2 linked regions of the Lonchura striata genome follow. The protein of the gene in region 2 purifies or fractionates together with the protein of the main gene of each other region. This does not show direct contact. Links are inferred from orthologs where the notes say so. Each region holds a gene or a part of one and is shown on either strand. Other genes may lie near its edges. The genes, in order: RPP25 and RPP40.

What was found.
Region 1: the proteins of RPP40 (region 2) and RPP25 purify together in Homo sapiens (affinity purification with mass spectrometry; 3 studies listed by BioGRID and IntAct, counting the BioPlex papers as one, with this or other methods). This does not show direct contact. The link is inferred for Lonchura striata from reciprocal best matches to the Homo sapiens genes RPP40 and RPP25.

The regions. Positions count from the first base shown.
Region 1 is NC_134613.1:5,873,419-5,883,877, forward strand, and holds RPP25 (ribonuclease P protein subunit p25), read left to right. Parts: upstream 1-7,115; 5' UTR 7,116-7,605; coding exon 7,606-8,229; 3' UTR 8,230-9,017; downstream 9,018-10,459. UniProt on the Homo sapiens protein: Component of ribonuclease P, a ribonucleoprotein complex that generates mature tRNA molecules by cleaving their 5'-ends. Also a component of the MRP ribonuclease complex, which cleaves pre-rRNA sequences.
Region 2 is NC_134603.1:94,110,385-94,121,310, reverse strand, and holds the start of RPP40 (ribonuclease P protein subunit p40), read right to left. Parts: upstream 4,033-10,926; 5' UTR 4,032-4,032; coding exon 3,912-4,031; intron 1,939-3,911; coding exon 1,794-1,938; intron 898-1,793; coding exon 829-897; intron 1-828. UniProt on the Homo sapiens protein: Component of ribonuclease P, a ribonucleoprotein complex that generates mature tRNA molecules by cleaving their 5'-ends. Also a component of the MRP ribonuclease complex, which cleaves pre-rRNA sequences.

The sequences.
Region 1 (10,459 bases), on a different chromosome or scaffold from region 2:
CCAGTTAAGGCAGAAGATTACGGGAGGATCCAGTGATGTGGGGCCTCCCACTCGTAACTGACCTACATCCAGGAGAGGGCCAGGTAGGGCAGCAGGGAAAGGAGGTGGCTGTGGGCAGTTTGAAACCCTCAAGTTCATCACCTGGCCCCAAAATAATTCTTTTAAAAAAATCTATTATTGTTATTTTTTGCTGAATTTCAGCACAGGGGTCTACCTGGCTGCCTTGTAGCTGCCATCTCTGCAAGCCGAAACCAAAAACAAGGCAAAAAAGGGAGCAGAAAATCAGAGCAGAGAAACCAGCTGGAAAAAAAAATAAATCAGTGGCGATTGTCACTAATGAGTCACTCGAGTGCCTGGCTTAACAATTACTCATGTCATTTGGCACCTCATTCCAGAGCATGCAGGTGGGAAAGGGGGGAGCTCGGCATCCCAGGACCTTCCCAGACCATTCCATGCTCAGCTCTGTGCCAGAAGTGAAAATTATGGCCAAAATTAAAGCCAAAAGTTAATACCTGAGGTTTTAAAGAGAAGGGTGAAGATGGCGTATCCCCACCTGCCTGCAGGTTTTGCCCTTTCCCAGCTATCCAGGCAGAGCTGGCTGTGGCCAACACATTTCCCAGGACGCGGGGTCCCGGCAGTTGGTGCCGGGGGCTCCCGGGAGGATGGGGGGCTGTCTCTGGGGGTCTTTTCGCACTCCCCAGGGCTCGCCGTCCCCGGCATCGGCCGGCAGCCCCCGGATGCTTCCATCCCGCCAGCGCTATAAATACGAGCCCCTCGGGCGCGGTGACGTCCGCCCGGCCGCCCCTACCCACGCGTGTCGGGAGCGGGGACACACGGCCAGGCACCCCCGGCCCCACACCCGCGCCACCGTGGGGCGAAAGCACCGGGACAGCCAGAAATTCGGCTGGGGTGTTTTTGCAAAATTAGGAATATGGTGGAGTGGATGGAAAAAGGACGGGGGATCGCATAGGTGGTGGCAGCGAGAAGAAACACTTCTGGTGCGTGGGGTGGGTTTGGGGAGGGCAGGCAGGGCTCGGCCTCGCCGTGCATCGCTGCCCGTGCATTTCCACGCGTGAAGGGCTGCATGCCCCACGCATCCCCACCAAAAGCAGTCTCCCAGCAGCGGCCTGGATCCGGGAGAAGGGCGGCCCAACCCCCGCTCGGTCCCCGGTGCACCCACGCGTGTGCAGGGTCACCGCGGCTGCCCCCACGCCGCGCATCCCCCCCCCACCCCGCAAGCGGGGTGCAGAGCGGGAGGTCGGTGCAAAGGGCAGTCAGCCCCCCAGGGGGGAGCATCCAGCGCCCTCACGCCGCGGCGTTTCCCCTGGCCACACTCCCGGGACTCACCACGTGGCGTGACCCGTCCCGTCCCCTCCGGTCCCCGGCGGGTGGCGGCGGCCGCCCGCCCGCCCGGTGCTGCTCCTGCCGCAGCGACCGCGCTCTCGCGAGACTGCGGCGCCGCCGCCACCCGGGCTATGGGCAGCGCCGGGATCTCGCGAGAGCGCCCGCCGCTGTCCAGGGTCCTGATGCCGCCGGATGGAGGGGCGGGGCCGAGGGGAAGGGGCGGGGCCTTTGCCGGGGGGCTCTGTAGGGCTGGGGGCTCCATGGCGCTGGGAGTCCTCTGTGGGGCTGGGAGTGCTCTGTAGGGCTGGGGGGACTCTATAGGGCTGGGGGCCCCATGGGGCTGGGAGTGCTCTGTAGGGCTGGGAGTGCTCTGTGGAGCTTGGGGGGCTCTGTGGGGCTGGGAGCTCTGTGGGGCTTGGGGGGCTCTGTGGGGCTGGGAGCTCTGTGGGGATAGGAGTGCTCTGTGGGGCTGGGAGTGCTCTGTGGGGCTTGGGGGGCTCTGTAGGGCTGGGGGCTTCATGGGGCTGGGAGTGCTCTGTGGGGCTGGGAGTGCTCTGTGGGGCTTGGGGGGCTCTGTAGGGCTGGGGGCTCCATGGGGCTGGGAGTGCTCTATGGGGCTGGGAGTGCTCTGTGGGGCTGGGAGTGCTCTATGGGGCTGGGAGTGCTCTGTAGGGCTGGGAGTGCTCTGTGGGGCTGGGAGTGCTCTGTGGGGCTTGGGGGGCTCTGTAGGGCTGGGAGTGCTCTATGGGGCTGGGAATGCTCTGTGGGGCTTGGGGGGCTTTATAGAGCTGAGGGTTCCATGGAGCTGGGAGAGCTCTATGGGGCTTGGTGGCCTTTACAGGGCTGGGGGCTTCATGGAGTTGGGACTGCTATATGGGCTTTGAGGGGCTTTATAGGGCTGGGAATGCTCTATGGGGCTTGGGGGGCTTTATAGGGCTGGGGGCTTCATGGCACTAGGAGTGCTCTATGGGGCTTGGGGGGCTTTACAGGAGTGGGGGCTCTATAGGGGTGGGAGTGGGCTTGAGGGGCTTTATAGGGATGGGGGTTCTATGGGGCAGGAGTGCATGATCCCTACCCAGGGCATGGCAAGCACTGTGTGGGTAGAAGGGCAGGGGCCCTGGGGTCAGCCCTGGCAGGGTACACAGGCTCCCTCTATCCAGGAGGCAATGGGAAACCAGCAGGGCCAAGCTTGGGGTACGCCATGCCCATGCCCTGATGTGCTTCATTCTGGAAGCAGTAATTAATTAATGGCTCGTGTGAAGGGCAGAAGACGTTGATTGCTTTTGCCAGTGATGCCAAGGTTGGGATGTGGAGGGCAGGGGAAGGGACTGGACTGATTCACAGACGGGACAAGGTTCAGAAGCTCCTAAAAGGGATGTAAGTCCCAAACCAGCTGAGTGCTCCATAGGCTGTGTCCCTTGTTCTCAGTGTCACAGAGTTCTGTGCACACCACTTGGACCTCCTGCCTTAGTGCTTGTGAGAATATCAGTGAAGTGTTGTGAAAATTTCTTTATTTGACAGCTAAATCATCTTCCCTTCCCAGCATCCACCCTCAAGGGTCATGGAGGGGCAGTAAGGACAACATCCCACCACGGGAAGATGAGAACAGCTGGGCAAGGAAGCAGCAAAATCTCTTTACACCAGTGAGCCCTGGTGGCCAAACCCCTTCAGCAGGGGAACAGCATTGCTGTGGGCATGCAAGGAAGGAAACCTGGCAGAAAGAGGGAAAATGCCTGCTCCACAGATGGTAAAATAGAGGGAAGCAGGAAAACCAGCATGCCACAGATGACCCCATAGCAGGGGGCCCAGCTGTCCACTCTGACCCCTTTCTGGACCCTGAGCTGTCCCCCTGAGAGAACAGGGACCCCTGCACATCTCCATGCCCTGCCCAGCAGCGGGGAAGGAAGGAAGGGGTGGGATTGGGATCATGGATTCCCACTCCCGCCAAGCACTGGAGATGCTCAGCGCCTTGGAGAGCTGCTCTGGCTCTGCCTGTGGACACTGAGCACACTGGATATTTGGGGCTGAATTCTTGTCCCTTATTTCTTTCTCTCCAGCTTTCTCTCACCTGAATTTCCTCCCCACCTGCATCTCTGCTGCCTCAGCACCCTCCCATCCCACTGAGGCTTTGGGAATGGTCACATACAGAGCTGATCCTTGCCCTTGGCACTGCCACATTTTTGCCTGCCTGCAGGTTTTCCAGTCAGGGATATTCAGGAATCAAATGGATATGTTCTCCCCTGCTTCACAGGGATGCCTGGAGAGCCAAGGGATAACAGGTGGAAGAGCCTCCCTGTCCATCCCACACTCCCTGAGCAGGGCAGGCTGGGCAGGAAAGGCAGGCCCAAAGAAAAGGCTGCATCAAGCAGCAAAGTCTCAGCAAGCAAACAGATTCAAAAACAAGGAAATCAATCCACAGGTCCAGTTTAGTGTCAGTCGGTAGGTTGGAGTCCAGACCAGCTGCAGCTGACCCAGAAACCAGTCCTGACATAGCTGAGACTAGGACTGAGACCCCTGGGTTGAGCTTAAAAAGAGCTCCTGGGCCGTGGGCACAGGGGGTTGGAGTCCTAGATGGGGTTGGTGAGGAACATTCAGGTTTATTAATGTCCTCAGGGTCCTTACAACATCCCTCTTCTTATTATGCTGGAGCTCTGCAAAGGGATTTGTCTTATGAAAGGGATTTTTCCCTTTTCTTTTACCGTTGGGTTATTCAAAATGAGGATTATCTTGAGCTCTGTAATTTTCTGCTTATGGCAGGGATAAGAACTCAGCAGAGAGCTGGTGCCACCCTAGGGTGCTCCTAGGGTTCCTCTGGCATCTTGGCACAGCCCCTGCGCCCTGGGCTGTATCCTCAGGGGGCTGCTGCTGGGAAGCAGCAGCTCTGGACCCTGACTGGGATGAGGGCAGGGGATCCCTGCAGCTGTGGCATCCTGGAGGTGCCTGTGCACCCCTTTTGCCAGGGTTGCAATGTGCCCTGGCATCAGCCCGCTGCCGAGTGCAACGTGATGAGAGGCTGAGACCTGAGCTGCGCCGATGTGACGCAGAGATGGGCGATGGCACCGAGACTTTCCTTGTATCGGATGCTCCCACTTTCCGTCCTCTTCCCAACCAGGGCCACCTTGCATGAAAGAAAATATGGAGAGGGCAGGTGGAGGACAGGGGCTCAGGTTACTGCTCCTCTCCACCTGCTCTGATCTCCATTAGGAATATGTTTCTGGGGTTTTTTCCCCACTTTTCCAGGTCTGTCTGGGCTCTGTGCTGCATCCAGCAGCCCTCTCCATTCCTGTCACCACAAGCTCTCCTCTTGGCTGCTCTCCCAAACAGCTCTTCCAAGCTCACACCTCCTGTGGGGTTGGGACCAGGCAAGAGGGTCCCACAGGGATTTGGAAATCCTCTGGCATGGGGTTGGGATGGCACTGGAATGCTCAGAGAGAAACTGTAATGGGAAAGGGGAACCAGAAAACACTCTCTGGGTGTGGGTCCCACTGTAACCAGAGTGGCTGCTCAAGGAGGGCAGACAGACAATACTCAGCATGTAATTCTTTTACTCTTATTTTTTCATCACTCCTGCCTTCCCCATTTGCTTCTTCTCCATTTTAAAGGACTCCCCATCCTCTTTTCCAGCTTTTGTTTCCCTGATTCCCCACGGCTGGAGCTGTCTGTGCCTTTGTCCCCCCATCTCTGCTTTTCCTTTCCCACCCTACTGAGCTCATTTCAGCTATTCCTTGGCTTGGAGTAACCCATCCACACTGTTGTCCTCCAACAAATAAGCTGACAGGCTAATGAATAGCTTCAGATGGTAATTAGCAACGGAGTTGCTAATAATGAATTTCATTTACATTTTAAGCGCTGCAGAGGGAAAATAAGCCCCTGTCATTAATGCCCCCCTGCTCCCAGCACAGCCTTGGCCTTGGGGGGAATGCACCCTCTGGAAGCCTTTCTGTGATTGCACCTCTCCCGCCTCCATTTCGGAGGCTGCGATAAGCAGAGTTCATTAAGCAGCAATTAGAGATGGAGGGGGGGAGAAGCTGCTGCTGCTTCCATCATCTGATGGTGGGGAAGCGCCATGGTGCCATGGAAAATGGGCCACGGGAGGCAGGAGCTGGTTCTGGGCCAGGAAAGAAGGGCTGGGTGGTTCAGCCAGCACCAGGGATTCACGTGGCTTGCCCAGAGCCCTGGAGCTGTCAGCTCTCCACATCCATGTAACCCTCCCAGGCTCCCTGGATAATGACCCTGAGGGATTTCTCAGTCACTGAAATCCTTCCCGATTATTTCCCTAGGGGTTTAGCACATTTTGAAGGCAGGAATTTCCCTGAGGGGCTTAATCCATCCCTGCCTGCCCAAAGAAAGAGCCAAGTGCCTTCTGCATGGATTCCATGATTTGTTGGCAAATGGAAAGATGGAGAAATGTCATTGTTTTGTCTTGTAGGAGTGGGGAATCCATGGTGGGAGCACAGGGAACAGGTTTGCCCACTACTGCAGAGCATCAGAAGGGACTTGGGAATGCTCAAAGCCTGGATCTGGTGCTGGGGGTGAGCCTAGGAGTGTTGCTTGCCCTGCCTCAGTTTCCCTCTGTGCCCAAGGCGCCTCAGGGAGGGTTAGATGGATTGGGAAACAATGCTCCGCATCTACAGGGGTTTTCCAGCACACTGCTTGTGGATGGAGGGTCCCATCCCATCCCATCCCATCCCATCCCACAGACCCACCCAGACCCCAGTCCAGTGGTTGGATCAGGGGGTGTCCCAAATCCATCCCCATTTAGGCAGTGGTATACATAGAAAGCTGCTTTGGGGACCACAGGGATGAGGGATTCTCCCCAGATAGGATGTGACAGCCACATCCTGCCTTCACCTTTGCAGACATGGATCGATTTTATGATTTATTTATTTATTTATTTATGTTTTTTTTTTCAAGCCCTGCTAGAAGTGAAACCAATCCAGGGGCCTCCAGAGGCCGATAAGATTTGACTGCAAGTCAATACTCACATGTCTTTCCACTGTGCAATGATCCCCCGGCCAGCGGGGCGGGAGGGGACAGGCAGGTGACAGGGGCGGGCAGAAGGCCAGCCTGGGGCAGGGACATCGCCTCTGCTCTGGGAAGGGATTGGGGGCAGGAAGGGGACATCTCCTAGCCTGCAGCAGGGATTTTCTGGGATTTGTTGCCAGTATATATAATGGTGAGCCCGCAGTGGGCAGCTCCACATTGGGGATGAATGAGGGACAGGGACTGGGAGAGCTGCAGGGAGAGGGAGGGATGGGGAAGGAGGAGGAGCGGGAGAGAGGGAGAGAAATTGCCCATGAAAACCAGCTCTGCCATGGCATCTGCTCCTCGGAGCTTTGGGAATTGAGAGGTTTTCCTGCTGGCAAAGCCGGGGCTGAGGCAGCAGGGTGCTGGGGGGAGCAGAGCCCTGGCACACTCGATGCACGCTCGCCTGCGATGCCATCTGCCAGGCTTTCTCCTGGCTGCGGGTTCCTGTGGCTTCTCTCATGGCTAACAAGGGTCGAGCTCAGACTCCGAAGTACTTCCTGAAGTACCTGCTGCATCTTTGTGCCATCCCTGGACACAGCGTGGCTGGGATTCCGCATCCCTCTGGGAATGCTGCAGGGCAGGCAGGCAGGGTGACATTTGCAGTTAGCAGTGGGCGTCCTTGAGAGGAGCGAGCACCGAGAGAAGGGACCAGGTTCTCTTTAAGGGGGCAGGACTTTGGGAACATTATGAAGGCAAGAGTGAGCTTCTCCCTCTGCCTTCCACCCTCCCCTCCTTCCCTTCTCTGTTCCAGGACAGAGACCTGGGTTCCCTGCCCTCCCCTTTGCCTGGCAGGGATGAAGGCAGGAGCAGGGTGCTGGGATGGGCGGCTGAGCAGGGGAGGAGGAGGAGGAGGGGAGGAAGGGGAGGGAGAGGGGGAGGATCTGCTAATTACACAGAACAGCTCTGGGGGCTGCTGAAGTCCAGAATGAAGCAAAGAGCAGCAGAAGCGAGTGCTGCAGCGGGAGCGGAGGAGCCCAAGCATCACCAAGAGCTGGAGCTGGCTGTTATCCCTGCTGAGAGCAACTGGGAGCACCCAGAGGATCCTGCAGCCCTGCCTCCCACAGGAGACAGCCTCTGGCACTGCCACCGAGCCCACAGCCAGCCCCTGGAGAGCCGAGGAGAAAGGGCTGGTGGTTGCAGCACACAGGGCTGGGCTGGAGGGCAGCGAGGTCAGCCCTGCTATGGTTGCCGGGGGCTAGGAGCCTGTGTGGATCCACCGGGAAGAGGTGAAGGATGGCTGCCGAAGGAGGGAGAGCCAAGCCCGCTGCCCAGTCCAGGATGGAGAACTTCCGAAAGGTGAGGACCTCGGAGGAGGAGATGCCATTACCCTTCCCAGACCTGCCCCCGGACGTGGTGGAGATGAAAGTCAAGGAGGGCAGCAAGATCAGGAACCTGATGAACTTCGCCATGGCCCAGATGGAGCTGAAGGGCAGGCGGCAGATCGTGTTCAGCGGCTGCGGCAGGGCGGTCACCAAGACCATCACCTGCGTGGAGATCATGAAGCGCAAGCTGGGAGGGCTCCACCAGGTCACCAAGGTACGCTACAAAACTGTGCTGGAGGTCTGGGAGAACCAGGACCCACCGCCCGACGGCCCCGCACAGAACCTGACTGTCCACAAGAACGTCCCCTCCATCTGCATCCTGCTCTCCCGGGACCCCCTGGATCCCAACCAGATGGGGTACCAGCCCCCCGAGCCCCGGCATGAGGCGGGAGAAGACACACTGGGGTCCTCCACCAAGGGGCTGAAGCGGACGCTGCCACCTCCCTGCGAGGAGCTGCTGCCCAAGAAGCTGCAGGTACAGGTGCCTGACAGCCCCAGGGGCACGGGGACCACTGCTGGCCAGCAGGACCACTGACCCCAGTGCCTCCCACCCTACCAGCCAGGTATCGAGGCAGGAATATCCACTCATTCCAAGGTCACTGGTGGGCTGCAGACTCCCCCTGACCTGTCCCCACTTGCTGCTTTGACCCCTGTGGATGGGGGTCCCCAGATTTGGCGTGAGTGTTAAACGGTTAAACCCTCCATGGATTGAAGCAGGTGAGGCTGTGGGGGGGAGCTGGTGACCTCTAATTCAGCCAACCAGGGACACTGTGACCACCAGCCACCTCCTGCAGCAACTCCCAGGGAGCCAGAGCAGCCGAGGGGTGCCTGGACCACCACACCGCTCCCCACTGCAAACACCTCATCCATCAGGAGAGATGGGTTTGCTCCAAGCTTGTTGGAATAAAACCTTCATTATCAAACCTGCCGCTGAGGAGCTGTTGGAGTTACTAATGACAGGCTCAGCATCCTGTGAGACTGTGATTCATCCCAAAAAAATCACCCAAACAAGCACAGGGGTTGTTCTCTCCCTGCACCCACAGAGCCAAGCACTGTACTGTGCTGCCTGCCTGTGGGACAGCAAAAGGAAATAAAACAACCCACACTGGATACTCTGGTCTGGAGCTCGGGGAAGCCACGGTGTGGGAAGCTGGGGGCAATGGAAGCATTGGGCAGGGGATTATTGTGACTGGATGCAGTGCCCAGCACAGGATGAGGAGGTTTTGGGGTTGTGCCTTGGCTGCAGAGTGCTTCAGAGCAAAATCCCTGCTACTTCCAGGGGGTAAAGAGAAATGAATGGAAAATAAAAGCTCTTTAGAAATAGATATGTCTATGGGAAAAAGGGGGGATCATCGTGGCTGCTGGCCATGGCACGGATCAGCACAGTGAAGGCTGCTGCCAGCCCTCAACAAGGGGATCCCAGCCAGACTCTGTCCCTTGGAAGAACGGGACTGGGGTCTCCTGTGCCGGCACAGCAGCACCTGGCAAAGCCCCAGTTCCAGGGGGGACGGAGGAGATGTGGGGGATGTGTTATGGGATGCCAAGCCTTGATCCACCTGGTTCCCTCTGCCCAGCGCCTAGCAGCACTGCGGGATGAATTAATCGGTATTAAGGAGCAAACCCTTCCCAAAATCCACGTGAGGGATTCTCTGGCTGCAGCTGCCTTATCTCCCTGCCTCACTCCTGCTCTACAGGGACAGTCAGCGTTCTCTCTTTGTCAAGGGCTTGCTTGGCTGGGAGTGGGAATGAAAGGAGAGGAGGAGGAAGAGGAGGAAGCAGGGTCTGTTTTGTGAGGCAGTGACCTTGTTATCTCCCTCAGCAGGCAGATGCTCCTCGGGCCAGACGCTTGTGCTTATCTGTCCTACTGCAGATTGATTCCCTTCACTTGAACATTAATTTCCAACTGTTTTGTTTTTATGTTAATGATCTTTTTTTGTTGTTGTTGTTGGTTTGGGGATGGTAAAGCTTTGGGCTCTATCCCATCCAGCTCCCCCCAGCTCCTTTATGCAGTGCAGACCCCATCTGAAGGATCTAATGATCAACCCTTCACCCCACACAGGAGCACCAGGTACAGCCACCTACACCAAATACATTAAAAATTACTAATAAAATTAATTTAAAACCCTGTAATTAATAAATCTCTCTGTAAACACCCTGATCAGAACCTGAAGACTGTGGGAGTCACATGGTCAAACACTAACAGCCCTTCACCTTCACTGCTGCCACCTCACATTTCTCCGAGCAAGGAAACAAGAATAAAAACCACTTATTTCTCCTTATTTTGTTCATTTGCAAGATCTCTTCAATGGCTTTCATTGACAGGTAGTTTCCAATCACAGAGGCAGCTCTGGGGATTTTACCCTCCTTGCTTGCTTTGCTGGCTGCGGATTGATAACTTCCTGCAGGGGAAAATAATAAAAAAGGACTGTTAAAAAAAAAAAGTATTTAAACGAGAATGATGATGCCGGGGGACGTGGTGAGTGGAATAATCACGACGGTTTTGTGGTTTTGTGCGGCACTGCAGAGGCACAGCCCCAGGGATGAGTTTTGTGGCGATTTCGTGCCCGGGTCGGTGCGGCGGTGGCTGAGGGCAGCAGCGCACGGTGTGGGGACAGGGACACTCGGAGAGCTGGGAGGTGGCGGGCGCGGCCGAGCCGCTCTGAGCCCATTCCCCTCACAGGGACCGAGTGCGGGGTGCCCATTGACAGGGACGCAGAGGCTGCACTGGGGCTGCGCGGACTCGGATAAATGGGGGCGGCAACAGC
Region 2 (10,926 bases):
CCCCATCCAACCTGGCCTTGAGCACTTCCAGGGATGGGGCACCACAACTTCTATGGGCAACCTGTTCCAGGGCCTCACCACACTCACAGTAAGGACTTTTTTCCTGATGTCCAATCTAAACCTACCCTTCTCCAGTCTGAATCCATTCCCCCACATCCTACTGCTACATGACCTGTTAAAAATTTCCTCTGTGGTTTGCTTCCAGGCAGGCGCTCTGATTCTCCCCAGAGCCATCTCTTCTCCAGGCTAAACAACCCCAGCTCTCCCAGCCTGTCCTCAAAGGAGAGGTGATCCAGCTCTGTGAGCATCTTTGTGACCTCCTCTGGACTTGTTCCATCAGGTCCGTGTCCTTCCTCTGCTGGGGACCCAGAGTTGAATGAAGTACCCAAGGTGGGTCTCATGAGAATAAACACTTAAAAAGTGTTCCTAAGCAGTGCTGATAACTTTCTTTTTTGGTACAAAATTCTGTCTTAAAGACCAGTAGGAAACAAGAAGTTGGAATTTAATGTTTTCACAAAGATAATTCCCTGTAGCAATTGCAATTATCGTTGAAGCACTGACAATCTGACTATACATAAATGAAGCTGATTTTTATTCCTCTTTAATTTCCTTTAGATGAGACAAAAAATTTAACAGCATGAATGAAAAAAGAGAGCTAAAATTAGTATTTTCCCATTTCACATGTATTTCTAACAAAGTTATCAATTACAGTAAGCATTATTTTTCAGTTTACATCATTCCAAATTTAAAAAAAAAAACAAAAAAACAAATAAACAACCCAGACCACAATTGACACATATTACTAAAAACAAAACAAATCCTTCATACCATTTGGTAGCAGAGCTGCAGTATTATCTTGATCAATTTTTGTCTTATAGGTAAGTGCATAGCATGAACCTTTAACAGTAAAGCAGAAAAACATGAGATTAGACAGTCTGTAAAGACAGACATGACAAAAGAAACAATTCACTTCAAGACAACCAAACATGACAAACACCATCTGAATCACTCTTGTGTTTTCATTAATTTTCTCCCACCTTCTCAAGCAAAATGGCATTGTTATTATTTTTAAAAACCCTGTTCTCGCAATATTTTAAAGGACCTATAATAGGGTTAATTATTAATAATTACTAATAGGTTAATAATAATCCCCGATATGAAAACATTTTACTTCCTTCTGTGACCTCTGACTCTCCACAGTCATCAAATGGAAAACCCTATTTTTTCCCAGACATATTTTTATTACCAGTCCAAACAAAGACAAAGTGGCTGGGCAGAGACTGTAACTTTCTTTGCATCCTCTTTGCTCTTACTGGGTAAGAATGAGCTGTCACAGCTCTCTTAGTGAAATATAAAAAACAAGGAAGCATATTTTTCTCTTGCCTGCTGTGGAACACAGCTCAGCACAGCTCTGTGTTGAGACATGAAGGAACAAAAAAGGGAGAAGGAAGTTTTCTATAAGAATCTGTACAAAAGTGAGGTGTAGAAGAAACAAGTGTGAGGATACATGGAAGCCCTCTTGATAGCTGGCTTTCAGAATTGAGGTGGAAGAGAGAGAAATTTATTAGGAAGAATCAGAGGAGTTTTAGACCCTGTGGGTGTAAACAGATGTTGTCACACGTGACAAAGCAGAAAAAAGCATATAAACAAATTAATGCAGAATTTTCTTAGTGCTTTTCCTTTCCTTCCTTTAAAACACTTTTCAGAATAAATAATAAGACTATTAAAAATTTTGCTGTGCTATAAAAAGGTACATTATGATTGTATTTGCTCTGTTTTGATTTCCTCCTTACCTTTCTTCACAAAAGCATCAATGAATTCATGAGCGACCAATTCATGAATGGGTAAACTCCTCACCAGGTAGTACTCTCCAATATCTGCAATTGTGCTTTTCAGCACTTCGGGCAGCAGGCCACATTCCGGGATCAAAAAAGACACCTGTTCAGAGGATATTTGTAATACAAATCCTATCCTAAAACCTGTTCTGAAAAAAACTCCAACCAAACAAAACTACAAGAAATACAAAAGAAAACCTCTACTTTTCAAAGATGGATCAGTATATTATATCATAATGGAATGGAAAAAAAGTAGTATCAGGCTACTGTCTTCAAAATGTATCAATTTTCATAGTCTCCAGGTACACTAAATACATTATTTGCTGGTTTGGGTTTTGGTTGGTTTGTTTGTTTTTTGTTTGTTTGTTTGTTGTGGTTTTTCCCCCCTTTTTTTTTTCTATACAATAGCATTTGATGTATTATGTAAAGACATGATCTCACACAGCATGAGTTAACAGAAGATTTCGTTTCACATCATTACACATTTTAGCTTGATGTCGCACTGGGACACCTTCAGCCCATGCTGGAGTACTTGTTAAAGCAGTTGCAACTAAAAATGTATGCTAACCATTTCTGTAATCTCAGTGGAAAAGCAAAGACCAAAGTAGAATCTTCAATTTACCTTTTGCTTAAAACCTTCCCCATACATTTTCCATAGACCAAGAGAATCCTGAAGTATGGCAGAAGAGGGAAATAAGGTAATATCTGGCAAGTAATAGATGGGCAAGTATGAAGCCTCAGAGGCAGCATAAAGGTATGTCTCCTTGCTCCTCCCTCCATCCCTCAAAAAACTTATTTCCCAAAGCTTTTGAAGACCAGGTGTGTATCTCCCTTGGCACACATGTTCAAGAGAAGAACGGACTGACAAACGAGCTGCCTTCCATGCCGGTAGAAAGCTTTCTGATTAGCTGCTAAAAAAGGTCCCAGAAGTCAGAAACAGTTAACAATTAGCCCAGAGAGTTACAGGGTATGAGAAGGGAGTTATCAAATAGGGTCTTGCCTGATTGCTGCAAAATGTGGAATAGCTACAACTTTTCTTAAGGAAGGATGTTCTTTGATGCGTGGCCTTTGTACACTTTCATGCCTAATCAACAAGAAGGGAGATTTAATCCATGAAACGAGAGCACAGCTAACAAGCCCTAAGTGAAGTCCAGGTCTCTTTGTTAACCTTTAGGGCTGGACATGTTTCAGTGATCTCAGACCTAGGGTGAGGTTAACAAAGCCTGGGGAGAAGGATGTACCACTGATAGTGGGCAGAAAGAACGCAGAATTTATGGGCCACAAAGGCATTTAGCAGAACTCTCAAAATAAGTAAGAAACTTAATAAACCCAGCAACTCTGCTGAATCAGCTCTGAGTGGATAAAAGGCAATTCCGGCAGGTAGAGATCTCGGCCACCGACCCCAGAAACCCCCTGACTCCTAAGCTGAGAAAGACTGAGCATGCAGATTAATTAGCATGTGAGACTCACTAACCAACAGAAGATAGTACTAATTAATGAAAGAACTATGTAACTTGTATCTTGTTTGCTAAAATGCATAAATAGTGAAACGCTTTGATAGGTGGTGTGCTTGACTTGCGGAAACCTCCGCCTTGCGCCCTGCGCGGAATAAGCGATGTCTCTTTCCTAAACTGGACCCTGCGCCGTGTTTAAAGAGCTCCTAAAACCCGCACCATCACCTCTCCCACCGGCTCACCCCTCTGCTCCTCCTGCCTGCTCCTGGAGGAAGGGAGGAGTTGGTTTCTCCCATACTGAGCGAGACCACAAACACAAAGGGGGATAATTTGATAATTTGTACACCCCGCCCCCCCAAAAACGAGGCGCGCGGGCCACCTCTGGCAAGGACGGAGGAGCCCCCACAGAACACCGAGCCTGGCGCGAGCGGGGCGCCGGCAGCGCGCCCTGGAGCGGCTGGCGGGCAGAAACCCCGGGGACGGCGGCGTGGGCAGCCCCGATCCTTCCCTTCCCTTCCCTTCCCTTCCCTTCCCTTCCCTTCCCTTCCCTTCCCTTCCCTTCCCTCCCCTCCCCTCCCCTCCCCTCCCCTCCCCGCCGCCCTGAGGGGATCCCGCCACTCACGCGGCAGCTGTAGGCGTGGTCCCGCACGTGCGCCGCGTGCCGCGAGCGCGGGTGGCGCGCGTGGCCGCGCTCGCACACCAGCAGGTGCCGCGGCGCGCGCCCGAGCTGCGCCGGCTGCATCCCGGGTCCCGCCCGCCTTCCTCCTCCTCCTCCTCCTCCTCCTCCTCCTCCTCCTCCTCCTCCTCCTCCGCCGCCGCCGACCGGGAGCTGCCAGACGCGGCGAGGAGGGCCGGGAAGGGGCCGTGCCGTGAGGTCACGTCCGCCGGCTCCGGCGGCGCAGCCGCTTCCGCTGTGGCGGCGGCGGGGCCGCGGCGGCCGCTGTCGCCGGTGCCCTGCCCAGCGCCGGTGGCCGCTCGGGGCTCTCGGTCCCTGCGGGCTCTGAGCAGCCTCGGCACGGATCGGACACCGACCCCGCAGGGGCTGGGTGTGCATCTGCAGAGTGCGCGGTGGTTTAAGCGCGGCGGTGGGTCAGTGCCCGGAGGGAGCGGGAGAGGCACCTTTTCCAACAGCCTGGAGTGACAGGACAGGGGCAGTGGCTTCAAACTGAAAGAATGTAGAGTTAGATTAGATATTAAGATTAAATTCTTTACTGTGAGGGTGGCGAGGCACTGGAACAGATTGGCCAGGGAAGCTGTGGACGCCCCATGCCTGGAAGTGTTCAAGGCCAGGTTGGACAGAGCTTTGAGCAGCCTGGTGTACTGGAAGGCGTGTCTGCCCATGGGAGAGGGTATGGAGCTGGATGAGCTTTGTTGTCCCAACCCCAAGCGTTCTCTGACTCCCGAGTAGCCCAGCAGGCTGAGCCAGGCACCGGGGCGCCTCTCCTGTCGGTCTGCTCAGGCACCGCACAAGAGCCATGGAGTGCGACCCTGCCTTGGATGTGTTGTGTTGTCTCGCCGCTCCTTCTGAATGTTGTACATTTCACACAAAGCATACACGAAAATTCCGGCTTTCCGCCTTCCTGCAGTGTTTATTTTGCCGGTCCCCTGGCTTCGCGGCTTCCAATTCAATTTAAAATGGCACCGAGCAACTTTTTGGGTACTTGCCGTTTCTGTAGCCAGCAGAGTCGCTAAGTGCGGCGCTTCTGGCTCCTTAGGCTAACTCAGCCCCCGGTGTCTCAGGGCATGAGCTTTCCGAGTGCCCGTGTGCTTGAGGGACACCGGGACATCGCTGCTGCTGCTGCTCCGAGCTCGGAGGTTTGTGCCCTGCGCCGAGGTGAAAGCCGCACCTCGGGAGGTCCTTGCCTCCTTAACGCCGTGGAGGAGGGCTGAAGTCTGCCCTGCCCGTATAAATCAGATTGACTGGATTATTACGAATCAAATCAAGGCTGTGTAAAATCACAGTAGCCTTCTAAGCATGCAAGCGTTAATGGGGAAGGAGCGACATGATTAATGTCAGTTGTTATCACACCCTCCGTGGGCAGACGAGCCTCGCACTGCAGCGATCAGGAAGCCTGTGCTACTAAGGGGTGAAAAGTTCAAGCCTTCGATCAATAAGCCCGAGAGCCAGGCAGGAAAATTCAGCTATACTCAAAGCAGCATGTGGAGGGTTTGTTTATTGTTTGTTTGATTTGATTTTTTTTTTGGCGGGGAGGGGCCGTTTTTGTGGGGTGTGTTGGGGCTTTTCATGTGCCTCTCTATGCTGATACAATTTATGCTTTCTACTGAGGATACGAATGGATGGGAAGAGACTTGAAGAAGAAATATGTTGGGGAAGGGTCAAGAGAGTCAAGATGCGTGGTTGTGTATTCAGCGTTAAGTCCGTATTTTATGGATTCTGGCAGGAGTGTAGCTCGCTGCAGCACAGTGGAGCACTGAAGGAGATTTGCATCACTGTTCAGTCAGTTTGGTTCATATGTCAGGCAATTAATTTTAACCCACCCATAGTTATAGATATTTGCTGTCCTATTATAGAGTATGTGTGTTTTAGAGAACTCCCTGAAGACACCGAACTACATTAAAAACCCACTTAGAAGTCCAGTAGTCTGTGTTGTAACACACAGAATCTCCCTATCTTTAAATGAGACATAAATCATGTATATATATGTATGTGTCTATACTAATTGTTGGTTAATGCTGACTTTTTTATAGTCATTGTTACAGTTTTATGAGTAATTTGGTATGGGATTTCTGTATATTGTAAAAAACAAAAAAACCCCCCAAAAAAACAAACCCTAAAAACAAAAAACCACACCAAAACACAAAAAACCCAAACCCTTTTAAACTTTAAATACTTTAAATAATTTAAGGCGTAAAGCTATCACAATTTTCCTAAGGATTTAAAACCTGTGACAGGGTAATGCAGTTTTACAGCAACTCAGTTTCTGCATGCTTCAAGACAGTTACAGGATATAGTAAAGAGGAAAGGACTGTCTTGAGGCAACTTGTAATAAGTTGGAATACAGAAGGATCTCTCAAGTACTTTCTGGGACTGGTGAAATTTGATTCTGATTTTGTAAAAAATGACTGAGTTTGGAAAGAAAAGTTGGATCTTCACATTATGTACAGTATCTCTTTTTGTGAAGCCCTGCTTCTTGTATATACCTTTATCACTATGGAAGAAAAATCTTAAAAGCTGGATTTTATGATTTAAAAACAACATTATTACAATACTTAGAGTTTCATTAAATCAAATCTAAACAAGTATTTGTCACAGACCTTTGATATTGGTTTGTGTCTTTAAGATGAATCAAAATATTTTTCCTTTCAGTCACTTTTTCTTTCTTAAATAGTTTTGACTGCAGAAGAGAAGGAAGGAAGTTGTCTAAATCTTTTAACCTCGGCTATTATAATGAGTAATTGTCAAAACAGAAACAAATAGGTACCTCTGGTGCTGTGTTAATCTAAAAATAATAAAAGGCATAAGACTGAAAACCAGCAATTTACTTGATCAGCACCAACTGGTTTTTTTCATGGAGGAAAGTGGAAAGATGGTGAAGATGTGGACAGTTAGCTTTATAACCTGTGTTTTACAGACTTTAGTCCATGTATTCAGAGCAGTGATGGACTGTAAAAAAGGTCCCTCTCAGACTTGCTCTTTAAGGGGCTTACAGACAAAGCTCTGCCGAGCTACTCCCCAAAGCAGCCATTCAAGCCAGGAAGATCAGTGAATGCTAACCATGGACCAAGTTGTTTGATTTGGTTAAAATGCCATAACCAGCCAACCAACCATCCAACCAACCAGCCAACCAACCAACCATCTAATCTGTTTTCCTTGGAGTTAAGCCCTCAGACATCTGGGAAAACTCCTACTCAGTTTTGTGGTATTACAATTGCAGAAGAAATGAGAGTGATAATTCCTCCAACAAGGTTCTGGGGAGCAGGAGTGTGTTTCATCTATATTCAAGCAGGGTCATCCCTTCCACTTGCCTCCCAAGGATCAGATTTTGTCAGGGCCCTGCATGATACTGGGGAATTTTCACACAGTTTCTCTCTCCTCCTAAACAGATTAATTGTCCTTCACATAAGGGCTAATATGAGGCACATGTACTCTGTTTTCTTGCAGTAGGTAACAAACTGTGGCCATGTTCCTCTAGTTGCCCCTTCATCTACTGGGAAACATCCTAGGGAGCACTTCCACACCCACCTTGACCTTCCATGGGCAATAAAGATGTCCTTCTCCTTGTGCCATAACAAATGGGGAAAATGTTGCATTTTCCACTGCGAATGTCTCCTCTCCTGGTGTGACAGATAACAGGCACCATTTCCCTTCAAACTGAATAACCAATTAACACCATGGTGTTCAACTCATCGTAGCAGTTTTGTTCTCAATCTGTACATAATTTTCCCCATTATATGAGCTGGTGTGCTAAAGGATATTAATTGTCCCTGCAGAAATTGTCTTGATAATATCCTTAAAACATTTTATTTCTAGTAACATTAGTACTGCTCCTGGAATTGCTGCAGAGCACACTGTTACTTGAATGAACATCATGAAGATACAGAATGCAAAGCAAAGAAAAAATATTACTAAGCATTCCTTCCTGTCCATATCTTAAAAAAAAAAAAAGAAAAAGGTAAATGGTGGCACAGAAAGTTAAAAGTATGATAAAAGTAGGATGAATTTTCTCTTACAATGAGTGCAGAATACTTCCTGTCACAGCTCAAGCTTCAAGGAGAGGATTTGCCATTTCCACCAATAAAGTAGTAATATTTCTTGTACCTGTTGTTCTTTCTTTTGTGTATTACTGCATACTATTATCAAGTCTTGGGATTGCAAGGCCACTGGCATTTTTATCTTGCTAAACTGTTTCTCTGACACCCCCAAATTATAAAAAGTCCTGTGCTGCACTTCACACCAATCTTGTGTGGGGCTGACCTTAGCTGTTTCCACAAAGGATGAGTGCCAAAGTTTGGCCCTGCGAGTTTAGTGCAGTAACATTTCAATCACCCTTTTGCAATGCAACATCAGAGCCACATGGTTGCTGGTTTCAAGCCCAGCAAAGCTGGAGATGGTGCCAGCAGAGGAGGAAAGCCACAGGGAGAGGAGCCTGTTCTTTCAGCCAGCTGGAAGCCTCTTTCTCTATGGATGGAGAGTTTGCCTCTGTTCTCAAAAAGCCGTTGCTGGAGTGCCTGCATTCACGATTTCTCTCCCTAATATTATCTATTAAATCAAGCAACAGAAACTGTAGTATTTAAAATAACCCAAGATTTCAAAAAAGATCCTAACCCACAAATAAAACAAAATCATGTTCCTTGATAAGAGCAGTACTTTCAGCAAGATCTACCTTTTTAGGTACAAGTGTGGCATTATCAAAAGTTTAAAATTAGAACTGTACATTTCATTCATTTGAGCAAGATTCAAAGTTTCAGCCTAGAAGTACAATCTACGCTGATATTAAATTGGCTCATGGGAGCAATGGGAGCAAGTTTTGTTTAGGAAGTATTTAAAAGAATATGTGAAGGTTAACCATCAAGGTAAATACACAAGGTAATTATGACTATAAACACATGAGAGCAATATGAGAAGCCAGGAGCACAGGTAAGAGTATGACATAGAAGTGTGTATGTATATGGGAGTTGAAGCCATAACTACAGAGGGTTATTTTTTCCTTCTGGTCCCCAGGATTTTGAAGACTGGGGACTTCTCAAGCACCTTTCCTGGGAGGTGTGCACAGTTAAGACATTAAGCAAGCAACCTGTTTTAGTGTCCTTTCCTTTTTCTATTTTTCTTCCCTAGAATGTTCATACTTACATTCTCTTTTACTGTTTTTTTTTTTTTTAATATTCTAGGTTTAGTTTTTTTGTTTTTGTTTTTGTTTTTTGTCCAGAATGACTCTGAGGTCTTAGTATTTCTTTTTTTAAGCCCATATTTCAAGTGAAATATAAAAAATTTGCATCTTGTTGCAGCTGAGTGTCAAAACTTTATGGGTCTTCCTGTCCTGTAACATGAATCAAGAAATGACGACTACATGTATTCATTTGTAAACCATAGTGATGAGACACCCCCCTGACATATGGCAGGAAAGAGACATGGACTTTTGCACAAAGTCATTAATCTTCAAATTTCAAAGTAAGACAGGCATCACAGTTAAATAAAAACACTCTGCCTTTGGCCAAGATAAATCTTTTGCTCTTGGAATGCAAAGGAAGCGATTTCTGTTGGGGAATGAATGCATCCTTCTTGTGGAAGAAATAAGAAATACCATTTTTTCTTCATTTTCCAGGATAACTAATAAAATTAGGTGAAATTAAATGTAATCTTCAAGGACAACAGGTAAAAAAAAAGGAAAACTGCAAAGGGGAGAAAGTCACTCCTGAAATAGGTTTTTGAGGTAATTTAGCCTTTTAAATCACTGAATCCATTTAATTTTCACAACGAAAATTAATCCATCTCTCTTAAAAGTCTTGTTCAATTCATCAATTCATTAATCCCCATTGGTTTTTAATTTGCTCCTCCTTGTTTCTCCAGCCTAATTAATAATTCAAAAAATAACTAAGGGCTCAAAAGATTGGTTCTCTAAGACTAGTCTAGCTAATCTTGATCCTCTTGAGTTATCCTTAGATTTGCAAGTTAAATGCTTGGATGGAAAGGGTCTGGGCAGTACTGCTTATGTGATTAGGAAATAGTGGTATGCACGGGAGAGGGACATTAACTACCAGAAATCAAAGCAATGAGTCCACTGAGATGAGTGGGCAGTGATCTACTTACTGCTTGCTGTTGGGAAGAGTATAACACAGAGCAGTGAAAACTTTCTGTTCACTTTAACTGTTCCCAGACACTTCTGTTTCTTGGATGGGAGAAGGAGCAGGGTGCAGTTACACTTCTTCAAGAACATCTTTATTTTGAAAACAAAGTGTCTTCTTTTAACTGAATTATTTTTGAACTCCTTACAGTGTGACTTCTTGAAGTATTTTCAAACTGAAGTGAGTCCTGCTTCACGGAGTAAAAAGATAAACAACTCAGTTTTGGCACTATTAGGTTGCATTCACAGTCAATCGTATTAGAGACAATAAAAAAGATGTACTGAATCATGGAAGTAGCAGCCTTTAAATGTCTCCTCAGTTTGGGAGTGAAAACAAATGGGAGACATGGGATTTGTCTTCTTGTTTTGTTTGGATATGAAAATGGAGACAGAGTTACAGCAGATTAGTAGTCCAGATACCAGCAAAGGAAACATATTTTGCTAAACTTATTCTTAAATATTTACTGTATGAAAATGTATTGAACTATGTATTATCTGCAGATGGCTTGTAAGGAGAACTGCCCTGAATTGTGCCAAGCCAATAATAACAAAAAGTCTAAAAGAATTTTATTAAGGTTGCAATTTCAATTCATGGTGATATGAATAATGATAACATCCTTTTGGTAATGTTTTAATGTCATTATCACATACTACTTACATGGCTGGAAAACTAGGACTTGATTTCCTTAAATTACAAAGAATACAGGAAGGGAAAGGATGGTCCTACTGCAGAGGCAAGTGATTTTCTAGCCAAAGGGACTAAATTTTATTGCTGCTCCAGACGTTAAGCACCTGCCAGTGCTATGCAAGTTGCTCAGACCAACTTGGCTACCT